6 linked regions of the Xenopus tropicalis genome follow. The protein of the gene in region 1 interacts with the protein of each later gene in a pairwise test. Links are inferred from orthologs where the notes say so. Each region holds a gene or a part of one and is shown in the gene's direction. Other genes may lie near its edges. The genes, in order: mal2, sh3gl1, ptpn9, tpd52, ndrg4 and pbx3.

Region 1 (4,183 bases):
GCTCTTGTTGACTACCTTAGCTGCCCCTCACCTCTGAGGTGGGCTAGCACTAATTCTCCTAACTTCTACCTAGTCCCAACAAGGTACAGCCTCCAGCCTGGTCTGGCTCTGAAGTGTATCCTGCCTAATCTCCTGATCAGTCCCTGACTCCTCCACTTCCTTATATTGGCAATTAAAGGGAATTCTCTAAGGCCCATCCTTAAGGGTCTATCTATCACATGGGTGAATATAAATAGCAATGCCAGAAAGGCCAAGAGATAGGAAACCATTATGCTTCAGCTGGTGCAGAACTAGAACTCTCACCACTTCCCTCCGGCTCCACCTGCATTTTATACACAAATTCAGATTCAACTTTAGATATAAATCATAAAATTGAAATATGGTAATGATATTTGAAAATGAATGCACTTTGAATGCAGATTATGTTTTATTTAGGTATGAATCCCCTTTAGGAGGTAAGTAGCCCACTGTAAAGCAGATTTATCATGGGCCACAAATTTCCACATGTGCCATCACCCTTATAGGTTACACCAGGTATAAAGTGGTATAAAAGCAGTGGCGTAACTAGATGTTACTGGACCCCACAGAAAATTCAATTTGGGGCCCCTATAGTTGACCTATGCTATTAAGATATATTGAAATTGCTCTATAATTAGGGCCTTATTGCCCCCCCTACACTCCTGGCTCCCCCTGCAACATCAGGGTATGATTCTCTGTAGTTACGCCCCTGATAAATAGTGAATGATGTTGTTAGTCTGGTATAAAGTCATTTACACACCTTTATAAATACTTTGGGACTCATTTATAAACACTGGGCAAATTTCCACCTGGGCAGTAACTCGCAGCAACCAATCAGTGTTTAGCTTTTCTTTACCAGCTGTGAGTAGAACAATAAAAGCAAAAATCTAATTGGTTGCCGTGGGTAACTGCTCAGGTGCAAATGTGCCCAGTGTTTATAAATGACCCCCCAGTGATTTACTATTTTAATGAATCATTTTCACAATCATTTTTACAGAGTTAGATCACTTTACCCACCTTTATACAGAAAATATGACCCTTAGATTGCTACTATCTACAAAAAACAGTAATCACTCCTTTGCCTTTATTTCATTTTTTTTCTCCTTTTATGGGAGCAATTTTTCTTCTAGTAATTATGAACAATATTGTTCTTTCTCAGCCGAGTCTTTTATTAGCATCCATTGTCCCACCTTTTAGTGTCTGGCCCTTAGGCACACCTTCCCATCCTTACATGCCTTCACCTGACAGTCAGACAAAGCTTGTAGGGTTGGGCAGAGCTACACCTGCCTCCAGGTCACATGACAAGCTCAGGTATACACACAGCAACCTGTCTGTGCAGGGAGAGGGCTGCAGTCGTCTCTGTATGACACAGAGAGAGCAAGCATGGCGGAATCAGGAGTCCCTCCAGTGCCCAGCCCTGCGGCCATGTCCTACCCAACAGCCTCTATGAACCTGCCAACGGGCACAGAAGTGCTCAGGACATACTCTGGAGCCTTCATCTGTCTGGAAATTGTAAGTTGGACGGCTGTGCGATTCTCAGAGATTTGCTATAGACAGGAGTGGGGATTGAGTAACACTGAGGGTAGAAAAATGGCATAAAGGGACTTTGCCCTCAGCCATACTGAGTCCTGCATTCTGTAAACCTGCTCATTCACATTCATTTACCATCAGAAAGTCCAAAATTGGGCCAATATCCTAGGGCCCCCACACCCTTGCAGTATTACTGAGCAGATTGCTGCTATATCAGAATTTTTTTATATTTTAATAGTTACCCTTTATATTTCTTTTAATATAAGTGAGGTAGGGAGAAGAAGGCAAAAGTGGTGGTGGGAAGGGAGGGGATACAGCAGTAATCCAATCACAGCTTTGAAACAATTGAATTCACAATCACGAAATTCATACCGGGCAATGATAATAGATTATAATCAATTAAAATGAAGAGTTTAATCAGGGGAAGCATCTAATTGATATATTTTACCCATGTAGCTCTCTCTGGGGATGGGGAGACACCCCACCATAATCATTATTATTATAGGAGCGATCTCGCCAGTGTCTGTGATTTATTTATGGGCGAATCTTATCTATAAGGCCCAACAAGCATATTTGATATTGGAGGGAGGGCTAAAGTCTCCGTCATGTATCTATCAGTATCGGTGTGTAAGTGGACATGTCCATACCATATGCCAGAATGTCCCATCACATTCCCCCCACAATTTTACACGTGGGAAAGGGAATCTGATTCGATGGAGCTGCAGGCAAAGCCGCCTTGTACAAATGCTGTTTATACACTCATTATAATTGCATAATTATAGGTTTAAAGCAAGTAACAGCATGTTAGAATGCTATGCCAGGGGTAATTATGGCATTTATTTCTGAAATAAAAACTTTTATCCGTATTCTGCCTGAGCTTTTGTATCGCCAAGGACTGTAATGAGGAAACCTCTCATACACAGATAAAGCCCCATTACTGGGCCCCCGGCCCCTCCCTACAGAATCCCAAACCTGATAGTAGAGACAATGGAATCCTACACCGATAGAATGTTGATAGATCTGATGCAAGACCGGATAGCTTTCTTTGCATTTGATTCAGATATGAGCTGGATCTGTGTATGAAATATACAGGTTACATACGCACACTGACACAAGAAGGAGTTGCAGAGCCCCCTTTTTTTTGGGGTGCAGGATAGGTGGTGTCTCTTATTTTCTGGTTCTGGAATCCAGCAGATGTGCATTGGTACCTTCAGTGTATATAGTAGCTGCCTTGCAGAACTGGGGCCCTGAGTTTGATACTGAGCAGGGCACTATCTGCAAGGAGTCTGTATGTTCTTCCCGTGTCTGTGCCCAAGTACTCCTGGTTCTCACACCCTACAAAAACATACAGGCTAGCTCTTTATAAAACTGACACTTGGCCATGACAGGGAAATTGGATAGTAATCTCCCCTAGGGCAGCAACTGAATGCTGAGCAGTCTCTGTATAGCAGTGTGTAAATGACCCTGTATAACTTACACGGATTGTATAAACATACATACCTCTGTGGGACACACACTCCTGCCTTGTTATTAATATTAAGCCTTGTCTTTGTACATTAAATGTGCCCAATTATAGGGGCAAATAAAGAGGTTCAGAACAGTAATAATAATAATGGAATTACCAGCAGGTGGGCTATACAGTAGGTGCACTAAACTGCACTATATAGGGGGGTAATTGGTGGGAACTGAGCATAAAGTTGTAACATGTATAGATATACATACATACATGTATGTTATTCTCCTTGGTGCTGTAACCTGAGGACACATAATTTGCTTAAGGGCCTCTCTGTGTTATTATTATTTCTGCCTCTACACTCATGTATATCTAATCCTGCATAGGAGATTATCCATTAGCCTCTTCCTATTGCAGTTTCCTTTTCTGTTTTACATGGTACAGGGAAAGTTCTGAATTAGGGAAAGGCCATCTCCCATAGACTCCATTATAAGCAAATAATTCTAATTTAAAAAAATGATTTTCTTTTTCTCTCTAACAATAAAACAGTACCTTGTACTTGATCCCAACTAAGATATAATTACCCCTTATTGGGGGCAGAACAGTCCTATTGGGTTTATTTAATGGTTAAATGATTCCCTTTTCTCTGTAATAATAAAACAGTACCTGTACTTGATCCCAACTAAGATATAATTACCCCTTATTGGGGGCAGAACAGCCCTATTGGGTTTATTTAATGGTTAAATGATTCCCTTTTCTCTGTAATAATAAAACAGTACCTGTACTTGATCCCAACTAAGATATAATTACCCCTTATTGGGGGCAGAACAGCCCTATTGGGTTTATTTCATGGTTAAATGATTCCCTTTTCTCTGTAATAATAAAACAGTACCTGTACTTGATCCCAACTAAGATATAATTACCCCTTATTGGAGGCAAAACAATCCTATTGGGTTTATTCAATATTTACGACTTAAATTATGGAAATCCAAATTACGGAAAGACCCCTTATCCGGAAAACCCCAGGTCCCGAGCATTCTGTATAATAGGTCCCATACCTGTACAGATTTTAGTTGTTTCTACCTACATGCCCCCAACGTCCCTGTAGTAGTCACAACAACCTTACCCTCTATTATTACCCCCTGAAATGCCCTCCTTTTATCTGCTACCAGCTGTATTCTG
Region 2 (4,148 bases), on another chromosome or scaffold:
AATCCCAATTTAGATATAAATAATCCTTATTGGATGCAAAACAATCCTATTGGGTTTAATTAATGTTTTATTGATTTTCAAAAATTCAGTCGGATTTGGGACCGCATCGGCTCGTTGATGCGGTCCCCGAACTAACTGGGCCTATTCCAGTTGTTATAATTCGATTGTTTGGCCCCAGGGCCAAACGACCGAATTATCCTAAATTCCCCCGATATCGCCCATCCGTAGGTGGGGATATCGGGAGAAGATCTGCTCCCTTGGCGACCTTGCCAGGTGAGCGGATCTTTACGTGTATGGCCACCTTTAGTGTGTGGGTGCCTCATTGTTCTGTTCTCAGCTGTCTGTTGTTTCTCTGTGTTCATTCTCTTTTAAGGAAACCTTATCTCTTCATTAGTACTTAAATATCACTTATACACAAATGACATACAGATATATTAAGACATTTTTCAACAAACCGATGCGGTCCCCAATCCGATAAAAAATGAAACATGCTTGATCAAGATCTGGATGATTTCAGGCCAGATATTGGTTGGGCAGGCCCATCGTCATTGCCCCTACATGGACCGATAAGCTTCCGAATTGGTCTAAGGGACCGATCTCGGTAGCTAGAATCGGCCTGTGTTTGGCCACCTAGGTGGGGATATCGGGTGAAGATCTGCTCGCTTGGCCAGCTTAAAGGTCCCCATACACGGCCCATAGTAGAAAGATCTGGCCTGAAATCGGCCAGATCTTGATCGGGCAGGCTAAAAAATCTAGTTGGATCGGCTCGTTGATGCAGACCCCAGACCAACTTTACCTATGCCCGTCATTATAATTTGATCGTTTGGCCCCAAGGCAATTATCCTGCATTCTCCCGATATCACCCACCCGTAGGTGGGGGATATCGGGAGAAGATCCGCTCGCTTGGCGACATCGCCAAGCGAGTGGATCTGCCAGTGTATGGGGACCTTAACAGTAGACATACTATTGAATTCAAAACACAGCAAAATAACTTACTAAAAGTAATCATTCACTGTATTTTTTTATTCACAGTGACATTACTTTTTATTAAAATAGAAAAATACCACTTGTTATTTACATAAAATATAATACCCAACATATTTGTTTTAATTAAATAATAAGACGTGCAACATTAAAAATAACATATTTATCTTGATTAAATAATATATGCCCCTGGAATCAAATATAATGATTTATTGTTCGCAAACTGTGCTCATAGTTAAACGCAACACTTCAAGATTGTGCCTCTGCTATCCTCCCCCGTTTCCTGCCTTATACCGGAAGTAAGCGGTTGCCATGTAATATCCTGAGAGAGGAGCCTGGGGAGAGGCTCTACAGTTTTGTCCGCGATTCCTGTAGTCCTGCAATCTTAGTGTACCGCAACAATGTCTGTAGCCGGGCTTAAAAAGCAGTTTTATAAAGCAAGTCAGGTGAGCGCTACATGTATTTTGAAGGCAGATGATGTTAACTGCGAAGTCTTACTTTTGAAGTATTCAAACTGTGTCCCCGGAGACACCAGCTCTGTGCATTCTTTTTTGTTGGGTGAGGGCTTGGGGAGGCGGGATGTACATCTGTATCATGTAAAGTTCGCACTCTAGAGTCGCTTTCGCTTTACACGAATATCGGCATACGTTTGTCTAAATTTGCTTACACAACTTTCGGGACCTGTGAGAATGGAATGTGCATTGTGTGGGAAGAGGCGGAGAAGCTGCTCTAGTGCCGCTGTGTATGCACGTAAACATTGTGTAAAGAAGTCATAGAAGCAATTAAGTCAAAAGATAAGCATACTAACGTTTTAGAAACATATAATGTGGGGTGTTCTTGTTGAAAATTTGTAAATCTATTTGTTGTGTATTCCCTACTGTGCGCTCTACACTCGTGATTTCTGTTAAAGGAACAGTAACATCAAAAATTAAAGTGTTTTAAAGTAATTAAAATATAATGTGCTGTTGCTCTGCAAAAAACTGGTGTTTTTGCTACAGAAAAGCTACTATATAAATAAGCTGCTGTGTAGCCATGGGGGGCAGCCATTCAAGCTGGAAAAAAGGAGAAAAGGCACAGGTTACATAGCAGATAACTAGTAGATAAGCCCAATATAATGAGGGTTTATCTGTTATCTGCTAAGTAACCTGTGCCTTTTCTCCTTTGAATGGTTGCCCCCATGGCTACACAGCAGGTTACTTATATAAGCTATAGTAGTCTTTCTGAGGCAAACACACCAGTTGTAGAAATGCAATGTAACAGTACATTATATTGTCATTCATTTTATACACTTTCATTTTTTGGTGTTACTGTTCCTTTAATTTACAGACTTGGCCAAGAGCTGACTATAAAAAAAGCCAGTAGTGTCCATTTAGTCTTTTCTGGATGTGGGGACATTTTCTTTAATTAGGAGAAAATAGTATTAGAATTTCTTTTTTAATTTTGGTGATAGCATAGGATTGCTGTGCTGCTTTTCATGTTAAGCAACCCAGTGCCCATTAAGGCAGAGCCTACCTTGCAGCTAAAACTACATTTGTGTGTACACTCTTCAGTTTCTTGGACCAAATCTGGTTAATGCCTTTGTATGGCCCTGCCCTCAGGCCAAAGGTTGAATTCCAGTGGAGGCTTGTGCAATCCTGTCATTTTTTAATTATGATAAAAATGTAATTGTTAGCTTCAGAAGCTTTAATATAGTTAATTGGGGATGCCATTTAAGTTCCAATAGGGCTTGAAGGTCTATACACACACACACACACACGCACGTGTGTGTCACATAAACTGTGCCTTATACCATGGGTTTAATGCCTTTATGTAAAGGCAGGTCATATGCCATTTATTTATTTATACCTCTAAAGGATGAATGCATACATTACTTATATAACATGACTGCAATAAATAATTGCAGGTATTGCATAAATAAGTATAATCCTTAATGGAGAAGTCAATATAAACGACTGCATGAGAAATATATACTGTTCTGTCCCTAAGCAGCAGTGTGTCTCGATATCCAAATTTGAGCTAAACAGAAATCTTACATTGACATAGGGGCTGATTCATCAAAGTACGAGTTCAAATCCCGAAATGGGTAAAATTCTGATTAGATACAATAATTTCTGATGAACTGAAATATCACGAAAATGCTTACAAAAAAATCATATTAGTCTTGATAATATCGTATTGGCGATTCAAAAGTCACGAAATTTTCGTATCCGAACAATCATAAACGGCGGGAAAACCTTTCTGACTTTGATCCTTCAGTGCATGTTTTTGGAAGCCTCCCATAGGTCTCAATGGCACTCTGCAGCTCCAACCTGGGCAAAGGAAAGGCACAATACCGAAGCTTTAATGAATCTGAAACTTTCATACTCAGCGCAACAAATACGATTTTGTCGCACAAATTGTCGCACTTTCTGTCACAAAATACAAAAAAGCCATGCAAATTAACAAAAAAAGTCGCAAAAAATATGCACAGTATGAAAACTTAGAAAAAATACTTTAGGGGGTTTGGGGTGTGATTAGCCAAAGACTTTCAGGGAGAGTAAGTGAGCCAAATGGTGGCTAACTACTGCTATGAAAGGCTTCGCTTTGTTCCACTGGGTCACAGATATGTAAATAAAAAATGTATTATTCATTATAAGTTGCATTAATATGAATACTATGGGGCCTATTTATTAAAGTACGACAGGTACGAAATAAAAAAAAATTGTATTTGATTGTACTGTGCTTATTTTCTGCGACTTTGTCGTATAGTTGCGCAAATTTTTCGTACTTTGTGACAAAACTTACGCAACAAAATCGTATTGTCGGCCCGAGTACGAAAGTTTTGGATTCATTCAAGCTTCGGTATTGTGACTTTCTTTGGGCCAGGTTGGAGCTGCAGAGTGCCATTGAAGTCCAATGGGAGGCTTCCAAAAACAAGCACAGAAGGATCAAAGTCAGAAAGGGTTTTCCCGCAGTTTATGATCGTTCGGATACGAAAATTTTGTGACTTTTGGATCACCAATATGATATTATCGTGACTAATATTATTTTTTCGTAAGCATTTTCGTGATATTTGCGATCATCAGAAATTATCGTATTTTATCCTAATTTTTCCCAATTCGGGATTCAAACTCGTACTTTAATGAATAGACCCCTAAGTGTGGAAGCTTTAATCCCCATTAAAA
Region 3 (3,500 bases), on another chromosome or scaffold:
ACACTGATACTGGGATCCCAGGGCATATGTTTAATTTGCTACAACCTCAACCCCAATAGGGGGGCTTGTTTAAAGGAAGACTAGGAATAAAATATGGTACCAAAATACTATACATAAAGCTGTTGCTTTTGTTTTGTATCTCAAACCTGTGCCCTTTTTTAGCCTACTTATTTGATTGATGTGCATTGTGTACTGCATATATGGCATAGCAGAAGAATCAAAGAGAACCTCTGAAAGATAGACTCTACAGCACTGGCAGGCTGGTGCTTATATGTCAGCACAATAAATATTACAATACCTGCCACATAATTGGTAAAAGGCAAACATTTGCCAAGCACATGACCTAACTGCAGTGATTCAGGGAGCACACAGAGGATAGAGTATTTTGAGAGAAAAAATACTTAGACAATGCTTGTTAAGAGGGCAGTTGAGGACGTCTGCTTTTTGCCACTGCAGTACATCCTATATTGCTTACCATTAATATGGCAGTCAGCACTTGGAAGATGCTATTTCATCTGCATAATAATAATAATACATACATATAAAAGAAGCTACTGTTTAATTTTCTTCCTATAGTGTAGATACACAGAGAAATGGCCTGTTTTTTATCTATGACATGGGTGGAAGTCAGTACAACAACTTTGAGTTGGAATTAAGCAAGAAAATCTTGAGCCTGCTGAGAGTAAGTATTTTATACACATCCTATTCTCTGCAAAGCACTGCACTTTCCAAACCAGATAGATCCCCACCTTGCGTTACACCTTCTTCCTTCCCTACATCTCAGGTTTTACTTCTTCCTACTGAGTGTCTACATAGCATGCCTCTTCAATTGTGTGCGAGAAATAGCTTTGCTTCTTTGGTAGGGTGCATTCCCTGCTCGTCTGAAGAAGGTCCTTATTGTGTCCCCTCCGGTCTGGTTCCGGGTCCCATATTCTGTCATTAGCCTACTACTCAAGGAAAAGCTGAGAGAGAGGGTAAGCATAAACATACGCAGCCAAAGGTATGTAGTAAATATGCGCAGTAAAGGTGGCAATACATGGTAAGATTTGCTTGTGTGGTGAGGTCGCCAAACAAGTAAATCTTTCTCCTGATATTCCCACCTTGGGTGGGCAATATCGTGCTAATGAAACCGTTTGGCCCTATGGCCAAAGGATCACATTGCAATGAAGGGGATAGGAAAAGTTGGAGCAAGGACTGCATCAATGAGCTGATGCAGTCCCAGATCCGACAAAAAATCAAGCCTATCCAATTGACATTTGGCCAATATTTAGCGAGATATAGGTCGGAGTGGCCTGTTAAAGGGCCCCATACACAGGCAGATAAGCTGTCAAGTCGGTCTTAAGAACCCTAATAGGCAGCTGAAATCTGCCCATGTATTGCTACCTTAACTTTGTAAGTGCAGACACTATTTTCTTGTCCTTCCAACCTCTTATTTCTAAATATTGTCTTTGTCACTGTATAAGAAAACACCATTCTTACTCTCTGCTTCTTTCTCTTTAATAGGCACAAATGTCTATGCTTCAAAAATGCCCAATTTTCTGTCATACTGTTCTCTTTTTGCACTACTATCTGTTGTCTTTCTGCTGTTTTCTTTAGCTCACGGCTGTATCTCTGTTCCCTCAGGTCCACATGGTCAATGCAAGTGAGCTTTTGGAGCACTTGCCTCCACAGTGCCTTCCAGAGTCTTTGGGGGGTCTCCTTCCTTGGGATCCTGGCTCCTGGAACTGTCTACTTCTTCCAGGTCGAGCTGGAAAGCCAGATCCCTTAGATGAGTTAGTAATGGTACTAGGAGGAGGCCCATCTGGAAGTGTACATAGGCCTGGAGCTAGGGGGATGACTTTAGCACAGCTGAAGGAGTATGTTGGCAGAGTTGGGAGGCGTGGAACATATGAGGAATACGAGGAGATGAGAAAGAAACAGCCAGAAGGAACATTCACTGTGTCATTGTAAGTGTGTCAAAAGAAACATTAGATGTGGGCATGTCTGTGAGAGAGGGAGCAGGGGATCTGAAAGAGTGAATATATGAATTCTCTTTTTTCTTTTAGGGCCCCAGTGAATCGCGATCGAAATCGTTATGGAGATGTCTTATGCTTGGACCAAACCCGTGTGAAACTGAAACGTCTGAATTGGCATGAGGTGAGAAATTTCTGTTTATATAAAAATTCACATTACCAAATGATAATAGTTGCTAACTATTCTAAGCACGTTTGCAATTTACATTTGTTATTTTATAATTTTTAGGTTATTAAGCTTTTTATAAACTGAAAATATAAATACTTTTGTAACAACAACTGCATTCAGTGACGCAGAAGTGACAAAAATGAAATATTTTGCCAAATAAGATAAACAGGAATGTCATTCATTTAATTGCAAACCTGATTCATTTTTCTTATTTAACTTTCTCTAGCGCTCTGATTACATAAATGCCAGCTTTATGGATGGGTATCTCCAGAAGAATATGTATATTGGAACCCAGGGTAAGCTAGAAGTGTAATTTACTAGGCTCAAAAACAAACAATTGCTATGTTTTCCCCCAGAACTTCAGCTAAATAGTGGGATAATGTGAAATAGCATGTACCACAACTTGTGAATTTAACATTACAGCTGCACATTTTGCATTGTTGAGCTCAATGCTAGTTGCAGTACTGTTTTATGAAGCCCGTGTTTGCAAATGATGCCACTTCCATTGGACCATGATTCCCTAAGTGTGACTGAGTTGCATGTGGAGGTGTAACACACAAAGTAAAACCCTGGAAGTACAACCCCAACAATGCAGGTGGTAATTCAAGAGCTTCCTCATGTCCATCTGCCCTGTACAATGTATGCAACTGCACACAATTTATAAACCCAGGCTGAACTGGTGCATACATTTGGTGGTCTTGCGTGGTCACCATTAAGTGACATCTGAAACAATTGCTTTTAAGTAATAGAATTGCACTGTAATGTGAGAAAAAGTTTTCCCTGGTCAAGGAACAAAGGAAGTTTAAAAAGCTTTCTGGTTGTTTGATGTCACCTTTTTATGTACATTTTAATTGTTATCAATATTATCACTTTTTTTTTTAATTCATCTTTCAGTAAACATTACAAAGTATAGTGCCACAAAACATAAAAAAATTAAAAGAAACAAAAAATAAGACCAACTACATATTGTCTTAAAATACCTCTACATCAGGGATCGCCAACATTTTTTACTTATGAGCCACACTCAAAGGGACTATGATTGACTATCTGGTAGCCCCATGTGGAATGTCAGTCGACATACGAGCCACTGGTAAAAAATATTCACATCTGTAAAGCATCATGGTTCAGGTCCAAGGCACTGTCACATACGACCTTATGCATAATGGCAATTTCTATCCAATTTCAGTAGGACTGATTGGAGTCAACAGTAATGGTAATTACAGGAGATGAAATATGGATAACATAGATATGTATACTAAATAGATGTACTGTAAATGTAAATAATAAATGCCTATAAAAGTAAAATAACAAACAGTTGG
Region 4 (4,180 bases), about 14 Mb from region 1:
TAAACCTGCCAATCTGTTAGACTGTAAAAGGCAGTAAAATAACAAACCTTAGGCTATGATTTTTTTTTTTTTTTTTTTTTTTGCAACCTTTTTAAAGCTCAGGACTGTTGGAGACACAGGGACTAGATTTGACTCTACAAGGAATTTTTATGACCCTCCGCTAAGGGCTTAAGGGCTTATTAGCAAGTCAAATACTGGGCCCAGTGCAGAAAAGAGCACACAGTATGTGTTCCTAGCACCAGCATGTTTATTAAATTACACAAAATCATCACAGATATTTAATTCCTTTTTTATTTCCTCTTTACTTTTGTATAGTAGCGATGTCAAGAGGTATCGAATAATTACCTTTTACTTCCACTTGGCATCTCTGTTGCTGCTTTTTGTTGTTTCTACTTTACCTTAGCCTCCACTCTGCTCAGGCTGTCACACCCCTCCTAATGACTTTCCCAAAGCCCTCCTGTAAAATGATCTTCTCTAATGATGTTTGGGTTTGCTTTACTCCAATGGAATTGCAGACTCAATATTCCCTTCATGCTGATCATTTAAAGCCAAAAGACTCCCCCTGCTGAAACTTTCTGGGCATTACATGTGGTTGACTCCTCAGTGACCGGATGGTGGTGCAGGCATAGTTAGCTGGCTACACAAGGGTTGTTTTGCTGATATGATGCAGTGTAAAAGCGTTCAGAATCCGTATGGTATACCAGCCTGTAGTCCTGCCACTTAACTGAGGTATCGCTGCCTCCACCTGCTGCCAGACAGGTGACATCCCATTGATGTCTGTGCTTGGCCAAAGCCATATAAAGCACATTAGTGGCTTTCTGAGTCTCCATTGGGGTGCCTATGGCATTACACTGACACCTACTATGCCTTTTTGTTCTTAATGTTATAAAAGCCATTTTATATTATAAAACCTGCATTTATGGTTATACCTTGTTCAGCAGTGCCCCCAAGTGGCTTAGAAAAGCAGGTCATAAAACAGTGGCCGCAACCTAACCCTGCCATGTATTATCTGCAGTCCTGGAAGATTATTCCCAAGACTCTTAGGTCTGAAGGCCAGGATGCATTAAGTAATGGATTGATTGAAAAGCACTCTGCTGCGGGGCATCCGGTGCCTGTCCCTGCTATAAATGGCACAGAGGCACAAAGCTCGGCTACTTAGCCGCAATTGTCTCGCATAAAGGGGAGGCAGCCTGGTATCATAGTGTCCAGATATTTCTCCATTAAGCAGGACCCATGGCTGGGACAGATGGTGTGTGCCGTGTAGCACTGCCTGGTAATCTGTTTATGCCCTAGAAGATTAAGCTGCTGGTTGTGCATGTGATATCAGATGATGGGGTTTTGCAATTAAATAGAAATCCTTTGTGAACTGGACCAGCACACCAGCAGCTTCAGGTGCACAGGACGCTATATGTCTTTCCACGTCCGTTGGAGACAATAGCCTGTACTCAGGAGGTTAGTGAAGCAGAAAGCCATGGAAGGTGAGGCCACTCTTTGTCACTTGGAGAGAAGGAAGCCAGCCCTGCCTAGGTAGGCTCTCCCCCGCAGCAAAGTCACTCATTAAACAAATGGCTGCGGCACACATGTGAACTCCCGGGGATCCGCAGGGAAGCAGGACAATGTTGCGCTGCTGGGTCGGATAAACAGTTGTATGGGCCGAGTGGAACCAGGACTGTCACCTGTAAATCAAGAGGTCAGCTACGGGCCATGTTAGTCTTTCATGTACTTATATAAAATGAACCATTAAGCATGGATTCTGGAGACTTCGACCTGCAGGAGGATTACAAGTCACCTTTTAATTTTGACTCTGGAGTTAACACAAATTATCTGTATTTGTCTCCCCGGCCAAATGCCACTCCTCCAGATTCCCCTACGCTACTGAGAGCAGGTAAGGTGCATACGTGTGTGTGACAAGTAATCTCTGTGTGTGACTCAGCCCTATGGCTTTTGTGTCTTCAGGCACCTTTTAGATGTGGTGTTGTGAGCAGAGGCTATTATCCCCCCACTGCTACCATAGGCACCATCTCTCCCTACTATACCTGCTATCCCACAGCCCCAGTCCCTTCCCAGAGGCTATTATCCCCCCACTGCTACTATAGGCACCATCTCTCCCTACTATACCTGCTATCCCACAGCCACAGTCCCTTCCCAGAGGCTATTATCCCACTACTACTATAGGCACCATCTCTCCCTACTATACCTGCTATCCCACAGCCACAGGGCCCCCACTGCTACTATAGGCACCATTTCTCCCTACTATACCTGCTATCCCACAGCCACAGTCCCTTCCCAGAGGCTATTATCCCCCCACTGCTACTATAGGCACCATCTCTCCCTACTATACCTGCTATCCCACAGCCACAGTCCCTTCCCAGAGGCTATTATCCCGCTGCTACTATAGGCACCATTTCTCCCTACTATACCTGCTATCCCACAGCCACAGTCCCTTCCCAGAGGCTATTATCCCCCCACTGCTACTATAGGCACCATCTCTCCCTACTATACCTGCTATCCCACAGCCCCAGTCCCTTCCCAGAGGCTATTATCCCACTGCTACTATAGGCACCATCTCTCCCAACTATACCTGTTATGCCACAGCCACAGTCCCTTCCCAGAGGCTTTTATCCCACTGCTACTATAGGCACCATCTCTCCCTACTATACCTGCAATCCCACAGCCAACAGTCCCTTCTCAGAGGCTATTATCCCACTGCTACTATAGGCACCATCTCTCCCTACTATACCTGCTATCCCACAGCCACAGTCCCTTCCCAGAGGCTATTATCCCCCCCACTGCTACTATAGGCACCATCTCTCCCTACTATACCTGCTATCCCACAGCCACAGTCCCTTCCCAGAGGATATTATCCCCCCACTGCTACTATAGGCACCATCTCTCCCTACTATACCTGCTATCCCACAGCCACAGTCCCTTCCCAGAGGATATTATCCCCCCACTGCTACTATAGGCACCATCTCTCCCTACTATACCTTCTATCCCACAGCCACAGTCCCTTCCCAGAGGCTATTATCCCACTGCTACTATAGGCACCATCTCTCCCTACTATACCTGCTATCCCACAGCCACAGTCCCTTCCCAGAGGCTATTATCCCCCCACTGCTACTATAGGCACCATCTCTCCCTACTATACCTGCTATCCCACAGCCACAGTCCCTTCCCAGAGGATATTATCCCCCCACTGCTACTATAGGCACCATCTCTCCCTACTATACCTTCTATCCCACAGCCACAGTCCCTTCCCAGAGGCTATTATCCCACTGCTACTATAGGCACCATCTCTCCCTACTATACCTACTATCCCACAGCCACAGTCCCTTCCCAGAGGCTATTATCCCCCCACTGCTACTATAGGCACCATCTCTCCCTTCTATACCTGCTATCCCACAGCCCCAGTCCCTTCCCAGAGGCTATTATCCCACTGCTACTATAGGCACCATCTCTCCCTACTATACCTGCTATCCCACAGCCCCAGTCCCTTCCCAGAGGCTATTATCCCACTGCTACTATAGGCACCATCTCTCCCTACTATACCTGCTATCCCACAGCCACAGTCCCTTCCCAGAGGCTATTATCCCACTGCTACTATAGGCACCATCTCTCCCTACTATACCTGCTATCCCACAGCCACAGTCCCTTCCCAGAGGCTATTATCCCCCCACTTCTACTATAGGCACCATCTCACCCTACTATACCTGCTATCCCACAGCCACAGTTCCTTCCCAGAGGCTATTATCCCACTGCTACTATAGGCACCATCTCTCCCTACTATACCTGTTATCCCACAGCCACAGTCCCTTCCCAGAGGCTATTATCCCACTGCTACTATAGGCACCATCTCTCCCTACTATACCTGCTATCCCACAGCCCCAGTCCCTTCCCAGAGGCTATTATCCCACTGCTACTATAGGCACCATCTCTCCCTACTATACCTGCTATCCCACAGCCACAGTCCCTTCCCAGAGGCTATTATCCCCCCACTGCTACTATAGGCACCATCTCTCCCTACTATACCTGCTATCCCACAGCCACAGTCCCTTCCCAGAGGATATTATCCCCCCACTGCTACTATAGGCACCATCTCTCCCTACTATACCTTCTATCCCACAGCCACAGTCCCTTCCCAGAGGCTATTATCCCACTGCTACTATAGGCACCATCTCTC
Region 5 (3,500 bases), on another chromosome or scaffold:
AACGAGTTTTTCTTTAAAGATACAGAACAAGTATTTATTTTTACATCTATGTTTGCATGTATTAATAAAACACATTTCAGAGGTTTTAAAGATAACTTACTGCCTGAATATATACTTTGTATACCTGAATATAGCAGTAAAGGCCCAGGAAGGATATCAGATACACAATCACCTCAGGAATAAGGCAAATTATACTTTTTGCTGAAAGCTAAACAGAAATTATTGATTTGATTTTAGGCATAGAAAGAATTCCCACCTAATATTTAATGCAGGCAGCAGCTTTGGGTCAGGCAGGATACTTTGTATATTATTTACCAAAGTCAGAAACTCAGGGTCAGCATATAAAACTGGCATACTATTTACCACTGGAAAGAAATACTAGAAATACAATGCATTATTACATTACATTATATATTGGTGTTCATTGCTTAAAACAGTTCAGTGCCAAGAAAGATAAACTGCATATTATTCAGCACAGACCATAGTGCAGGGCAGGAGAGACATTTGCTATACAATATAACACAAATACCAAAGCAGTCAGAAGTGCTGGTACTTATGGTTCAATTACTGCTTTAAATATTTAACCCTTATTTTGTGTCATAACTGCTGCATGTCTTATACTGGCCTCTACTTGAAATTGCTGATTTCCAAAAAAATCTTCTTAGGGACCTAACCCCTGATTGGTTTTGCCCTCCTTACTGCTATGTAATGTCAAGGAGCACAATGAGAACTCACTTCACTTGCTATTACTGTTACACCCCTACTGCCCAATTAATTGATGAGTCTCAGTTAAGTTGCACTCATTGTCTTTTTTTCCAGACAAGCTTTGTTTCAACACCTTCTTTAACTATGAGGATATGCAGGAGATAACTAAGCACTTTGTGGTATGCCATGTGGATGCCCCGGGGCAGCAGGTGGGGGCATCACAGTTCCCTCAGGGGTAAGTAAAGAAAATTACATAACCTGTTGTTTTATTGTATTAAGTACAGTCCTCTGGCAATAACTATCTGCCTTTCCTTAGGTACCAATATCCCACAATGGAACAACTGGCAGCCATGCTACCCAGTGTCATGCAGCACTTTGGGTAAGTCAGGTGAATGGGACAGAATCCAAATACTGTTAGATATCAGCTACTGACATGAGCATACCTAATTATATCTCTAAAATGGAGTGGGTCACTAGATGATGTTGTGTGACGTGTGTTCAACATACTTTTGGTGCAACCATGCCTCAGAGATTGAAACAGGTTGCTGTGGGAACCCTGGAGCTACTGCTTGGCTTGAAACTGCTAGCACACAGGTTGATGGGATTAATTGGATTTTTTACACAACTAACTGAAATTAATTTAATTTAGACTGTGCTTGTGGTCATAAATTAACCCTAAATTCCAATTAGTTTTTCTTGGTAACTTTACTAGTACAATTTATCACCCATGTTATAAAATAGCATGTGTGCAAGAAACAGGGTGGTTTGCACCCATTTGTTCATACTTTGCATTGTGCCCTGCACTTTTAAAATGACCGTAAAGCAGTCTGTAGTGTACAGTGCCTGATGGGGCTCTCTACTAACTTGAATTTTAATAAATATGTGTGCAACAGATCATCTTGTGCAAACTTTAGGTGGCTGGATTTGGTATTAAAGGATATTGTTGCGAGGCTATGTAACTTATAATTTGCCACTGGTATGCAATATGGCAGATTTTATTATGAACTGCCAAAATGAAGAGGCAGACTAATTTATTAAAGCGGTAGTGTACCCCCTTGTTCATTGTGAGTTCAATGAATAGAGCTTGTGCTGAATATACTGTGAATCAGAATCTGTGGTTTTTGTTATTTCTTGAGCTAAACAGGGCAAACAAGGAAACTGCATCTTCTTCATGTTTGGTCCTTGCGAGCTTACAAGTGCATAGATAGACAAAAACAATAGGTTTAAACTACTCCAGTGTTGTAACTAACATCAACCCACCAGATGGCAGTATTAATCAGCACAGAGATCAGTATAAAAGCCAATGTTTGGTTAGTTGCTTTAGGGCTCTGGCACACGGGGAGATTAGTGGCCTGCAACAAATCTCCCTTGTTGCGGGCGACTAATTTCCCCGAAATGCCATCCCACCGGCGAGAATCTAAATTGCGGAGGTTTCCTCTCGCCGGTGGGATGGCATTTCGGGGAGATTAGTCGCCCGCGACAAGGGAGATTTGTTGTGGGTGACTAATCTCCCCGTGTGTCAGAGCCCTTAGGTTACTACAGCAAATAAATAACCCAAGCTAAGCACTGAGCAAATAAGCACGGATTTAACATAGGCTTTATTTTGATACTTTTTAATGTAAGGTAAATAAACAGGTGCTCTTTTTAGAACATATATACTTACATCAGGTTTGAAAGGAGAATGTTGAACTGTAGCAAGTAGCTTACTATCCCTTTTATCCCTACATTCCTTTCTGTTCTGCTAAAATAAATTGTTACTTAATTACTTACTCTCTCTTTTGCAGATTTCAAAGTATAATTGGCATTGGTGTTGGAGCAGGAGCCTATGTCCTTGCAAAATTTGCTGTAAGTCTGTGTGTGCTTTAATATAGTTGGTGGGTTACTGTGCATCCTGCATGAGTAGAAAAAAGAAATTGGAATTCTAAGCAACGTTCCCATGTACATTTATTAAACATTTTTAAGTTTTTGCCATATGCAGTCCAGATGTCTCTGATTTTTTTTTTTTTTTTTGCTATAGGTGTTCATAGGCATTGCATAATAGGAACCTCTGAAAATATAGCAATTTATGTAAAAAATGTGCCCACAACAGGGTATTGGGTCTGGGGAATGACACTACTGAAATATTGAAATCAGTATCCCTCGGCATGTGATTGATATTCATCAAATGTACTTCAAATGTTACCTCCCATTAGTGTTACTGTATGAACAAATTGTAGATTTGAATTACATAAAATTGTTACATAAAGCCCAGAATTTCCTACCCACCCACCCCACATCCTCTTGCTACAAGTAAAACTGTAATCTTTGCTTAGTAAGACAAGATATTTTGCAGAAATGGTCCCTGGTTACACAAATGTTTGCTAAATCAAATTATAATAATTACAAAAATAATGAAATAAAAGAAATGTTAATTTATTAGTACCTTTTGCATATTATGGTTTATTTTTGATGGTTTTAATGTCTCCTTTTTATTGGCCAACAGCTGATTTTCCCAGAGTTAGTGGAAGGCATGGTTCTGGTTAACATTGATCCAAACGGAAAAGGGTGGATTGACTGGGCAGCCTCCAAGGTAAGCTAGCTAATTTGTTAGAAGGGACATTGTGCACATTATAGGAATATGGGGCAGACTGCAACAAGGAAACACTAGGAATATGGCATAGTGAGACCCACAAAGAACAGAATGTATAAGGCATGGCAACACAACTGACATTTAAATTAATAAGTGAAGTGACATCATTTGTTTAGAGACGTAAAGAAGAAAACGTGGACTTTTGGCCTTGGTCCCACTTTGGGGC
Region 6 (3,500 bases), on another chromosome or scaffold:
CGTTATGGAGAATGCTTGGGATCTGGGGTTTTCTAGATAAGGGTCTTTTCATATTTTGGATCTTCATACTTTCCGTCAGCTAAAAAAATCATTTAAACATTAAATTAAACCAGTTTTTTAAAATTAATAGGCCATTTTTTTTAGTTTATACATAAGATATTTATCTTGACAGTAGACTTACTGATCTACAAGTACTCAATGTAGAATGGTGCTAAATGTTTAAACTCTCCAGTTCTTCAGTAATCATTTGATCTATTAATTTATTTCCCCTCCGGCGAGCCCACCTGATGATCTGGGTTTTTCTTTTTTTGCAGGAGAAAAAGACGTAACTTCAGTAAGCAAGCCACAGAGATCCTAAACGAGTATTTCTACTCCCACCTTAGCAACCCTTACCCAAGCGAGGAAGCCAAAGAGGAGCTGGCAAAGAAATGCAGTATCACAGTGTCACAGGTGAGCCCACCCTGCCATATCTGTGCTCTTTGCATTCTTAGCCCTGGAGCAGATTACCTAACAGGGTTTTAATTCCCAAGTAACAAATACATTTCATGAATGCAATTATACTTTATTAATACAAACAATTATAACAAATTCTAATTAGTATATCTCTGTGCATCACACAATTAATTGTTTAAAACGATAGAACTGTCCTGCCCCTCAATCATGTGAATTTTAGCATTGCACCTCAGAGGGACTACTGCTGGGCAATGGCACACCTTGTGATTCCATGTTTTTTCAGCCGGGTAATTTATAGCTATGTGGGTAGGCAAAAAGGCACTTGCAATCGCTCTACGTTGATTTAAACAGCAACCCCATGCAATTGTGGGTGCACTCATCTTTCCAAGTGGCTATAACCCAACACCCAAGTGCATCCGCAATTCCAGGTGATTGCTTTTCAAATCAGTGGGGAGAGGTTGGGTCCATTTTCTCATCCATACAGCTATTTACCCCTCAATCACAGAGAATTTCTATGCTAGCTATAGCCCAAAATAAAATAACATTACCCTGTGTGTTTGCGAGCAAATGCACCATACTCCTAGTTAGTAGCTTTAACTAATCGTTGGGTCTGAAGTCATTCTTATTATCATTAACAAGTATTTATAAGCACTTGTACGATTTATAGTCCTGTACGATAGATGTTGTATACTCACACAGATTACATACAAAATACAACCAAAACAAGAGGTAAAGAGGCCCTGCTTAATAGGTCTTACAATCTAAAAGTTAGCAAGAACAGAATGCCTGCCCAACATTTGCAGACACAATGGAGAGAACTGATGCTAAATCACTTCTTATTTGCTTTGCATTGTGAGCTGGCAGGGAGAAACTGCTGTTGAATACCCTACCAAAAATGTAGTCTGGCAAGATTTTGTTGAACTAAATGATTAGGTTTAGTGTGTGTAATTCAATATTTTAAAGTAAAAAATATAAGTGTATATTTTTATAATATTTAGAAGTAAAAAGTGTTTTCTGAGAACTCCATAAACCCACTTTTAGGGCCTTTAGGGATGTTCAACAAATTGTATTCATCCATTGGACCCATTTGCTTTTGATTAAAGCATACAAATATGTTTCTTTATACAGAGAGCTTGTTTATGTATATATTGCAGAAATTAGATAATCAATAGAGACACATTACTTCTTTCTGTGCCAAGGTGAAATTAGATATCACCCATTAACCCCACAGATACGAGACTCTGTTAGGCCATTCTTGATTGTATGTGCACTTCTCATTGGGCCAGTAAATGCAATAAATTATATGGGCATAGGGTACTATACATGCAAAGCCATAACAATCTCTGTGTATGTATGATTTCCATTCAACGGATTCATTAATTGACTTCTAGCATCGCAAGAGAAAAAGGAAACGCTCGTCCTTATTGCACGCAGACACGCTTTATTTTGGTTCCCTGCAATTGCAAAATCTAACACTTAGAGACCTTATTTTCCTGTTTTTTTGCTGGTAGTTGTTATGCAGAAACTTCTAACTTGACAGTACACTGAGAAAGGAGAGACTTTTTCTTTTTAACATTTTATCATATGTGGCTTTAAAGCTATATATGGGTTTAAAAGATTTACATACAAATTCCCTCACTCACAATTACTCACTCACGCATATCAGGCACGTATATTTAAGCCATTAAGTCAACATTATATAGTATTATATTATATAGCTAACATATTTTGATCTATCTTCTTACCATGGCCACAAATAATTCAGCAACAGAATAGAAGGTAGCATTCTCCCGTGCCTTTACAGGTCCACAGAAAGCCATTATCACAGGCAAGCTGAACAGATACACATTACATCTACAGTGCCTTTACATATGCTCATTTTCAAGACAGTTAATGCCTGGATATTTGCCTGTATCTTTTAACCAGTCCGTGATATTAACTGGTCCTTTTCATGCAGGTTAAACATAACGTATGAGCGGCTCTCTTTTCACTGCTTCCAATTAAACCTCGCTCGTTAGTTTAACCTCAAGGTAATGCCATCAAACAATGCATGTCAGGGAAACACTGCCCACAGTGGCAGTCATTAATTTTAATTGCCTTGATATTAAAGATAAGGAAGAATAAGAGAAACTGGGACGGAATCCTATACCACGTCAAAAAAAAAAAAATCCTGCACCCTGAGGCCTCCCGAGGCTCAAACGATATTAAAATGTAACGGGGGGAGGATGGAAGGCAGCCTTTATTAGACATGGCTATTGTTGAGAGTACTGAATTGTCCTCCTCTGCACACGCCAGAGATTTCCTCACTTCTAAAGCTGTTAATAAAGCAGTAATCTGATTTTTTTTCCCTTAATAATTATCCGCCCGCCTTCATTAATGTGTTATTGCCCTGCTGGCTGGCAGGTTAATGGTAAGCAGAATATATAAAATACAGGCAAGTATTGGCCAGGGACAAAGCAAAGAATGAGGCATTGGCTCTGCAGGGTAACAGCAGAGAGTGGTTTGAAGACATTTGTGCTGTAAAACTGTTAACAATTCACTGACAAAATTACAGTTACGCAGCCAGCTCCAGATTCAAGCGCATCAGCACACAAACGCTTCAGCCTTCTGCATCTCTCAGCCAATAAACATTTACACTTTTCATTATTAAAATTTGAATATTTTTTGCTAAAATAAGTATACACTTCCTGCCTTGTACATTTGTTAAAAACAACTTTATCTTACTATGAAATATATTATTATTTTTGCTTTTACTCTTGGTCTTTGGCTTAAGCTGGCCCTGATTTGGTTGGGCAGTTTGACTGATTTCAGTCATACTGCCCAGCCATCTGGACATAAAACCAGGCCAGGGGGCTGTTTTCACCAATCATCCTGCAATCCTGCCATGTTGCAAGTTTTCATTGGCCGGTGCACCATGTTGGTAGGTACATAGGGCATAGGCAGATGAGGTGGCCCATCTTCACTTCCTCCAGTTTCAATCATTTGAGCTTTCTATCCAAGCAAATAGAACAATTCAAAGTGGCCATTCACATGTATGGCCACTCCTA

What was found.
Region 2: the proteins of mal2 (region 1) and sh3gl1 interact in binary tests that used the Homo sapiens proteins (3 or more experiments, as listed by UniProt). The two-hybrid records come from large-scale screens. The link is inferred for Xenopus tropicalis from reciprocal best matches to the Homo sapiens genes MAL2 and SH3GL1.
Region 3: the proteins of mal2 (region 1) and ptpn9 interact in binary tests that used the Homo sapiens proteins (3 or more experiments, as listed by UniProt). The two-hybrid records come from large-scale screens. The link is inferred for Xenopus tropicalis from reciprocal best matches to the Homo sapiens genes MAL2 and PTPN9.
Region 4: the proteins of mal2 (region 1) and tpd52 interact in a two-hybrid assay, tested with the Homo sapiens proteins (2 studies listed by BioGRID and IntAct). The link is inferred for Xenopus tropicalis from reciprocal best matches to the Homo sapiens genes MAL2 and TPD52.
Region 5: the proteins of mal2 (region 1) and ndrg4 interact in binary tests that used the Homo sapiens proteins (3 or more experiments, as listed by UniProt). The two-hybrid records come from large-scale screens. The link is inferred for Xenopus tropicalis from reciprocal best matches to the Homo sapiens genes MAL2 and NDRG4.
Region 6: the proteins of mal2 (region 1) and pbx3 interact in a two-hybrid assay, tested with the Homo sapiens proteins (2 studies listed by BioGRID). The two-hybrid records come from large-scale screens. The link is inferred for Xenopus tropicalis from reciprocal best matches to the Homo sapiens genes MAL2 and PBX3.

Annotation. Positions count from the first base shown.
Region 1 is NC_030682.2:137,845,402-137,849,584, forward strand, and holds the start of mal2 (protein MAL2), read left to right. Parts: upstream 1-1,383; 5' UTR 1,384-1,401; coding exon 1,402-1,530; intron 1,531-4,183. UniProt on the Homo sapiens protein: Member of the machinery of polarized transport. Required for the indirect transcytotic route at the step of the egress of the transcytosing cargo from perinuclear endosomes in order for it to travel to the apical surface via a raft-dependent pathway.
Region 2 is NC_030677.2:93,852,112-93,856,259, forward strand, and holds the start of sh3gl1 (endophilin-A2), read left to right. Parts: upstream 1-1,348; 5' UTR 1,349-1,385; coding exon 1,386-1,430; intron 1,431-4,148. UniProt on the Homo sapiens protein: Implicated in endocytosis. May recruit other proteins to membranes with high curvature.
Region 3 is NC_030679.2:93,344,980-93,348,479, forward strand, and holds part of ptpn9 (tyrosine-protein phosphatase non-receptor type 9), read left to right. Parts: intron 1-576; coding exon 577-682; intron 683-863; coding exon 864-974; intron 975-1,623; coding exon 1,624-1,946; intron 1,947-2,045; coding exon 2,046-2,136; intron 2,137-2,407; coding exon 2,408-2,477; intron 2,478-3,500. UniProt on the Homo sapiens protein: Protein-tyrosine phosphatase that could participate in the transfer of hydrophobic ligands or in functions of the Golgi apparatus.
Region 4 is NC_030682.2:123,595,018-123,599,197, reverse strand, and holds the start of tpd52 (tumor protein D52), read left to right. Parts: upstream 1-1,380; 5' UTR 1,381-1,746; coding exon 1,747-1,885; intron 1,886-4,180.
Region 5 is NC_030680.2:75,873,075-75,876,574, forward strand, and holds part of ndrg4 (protein NDRG4), read left to right. Parts: intron 1-819; coding exon 820-940; intron 941-1,021; coding exon 1,022-1,084; intron 1,085-2,489; coding exon 2,490-2,550; intron 2,551-3,187; coding exon 3,188-3,274; intron 3,275-3,500. UniProt on the Homo sapiens protein: Contributes to the maintenance of intracerebral BDNF levels within the normal range, which is necessary for the preservation of spatial learning and the resistance to neuronal cell death caused by ischemic stress.
Region 6 is NC_030684.2:27,526,041-27,529,540, reverse strand, and holds part of pbx3 (pre-B-cell leukemia transcription factor 3), read left to right. Parts: intron 1-314; coding exon 315-450; intron 451-3,500. UniProt on the Homo sapiens protein: Transcriptional activator that binds the sequence 5'-ATCAATCAA-3'.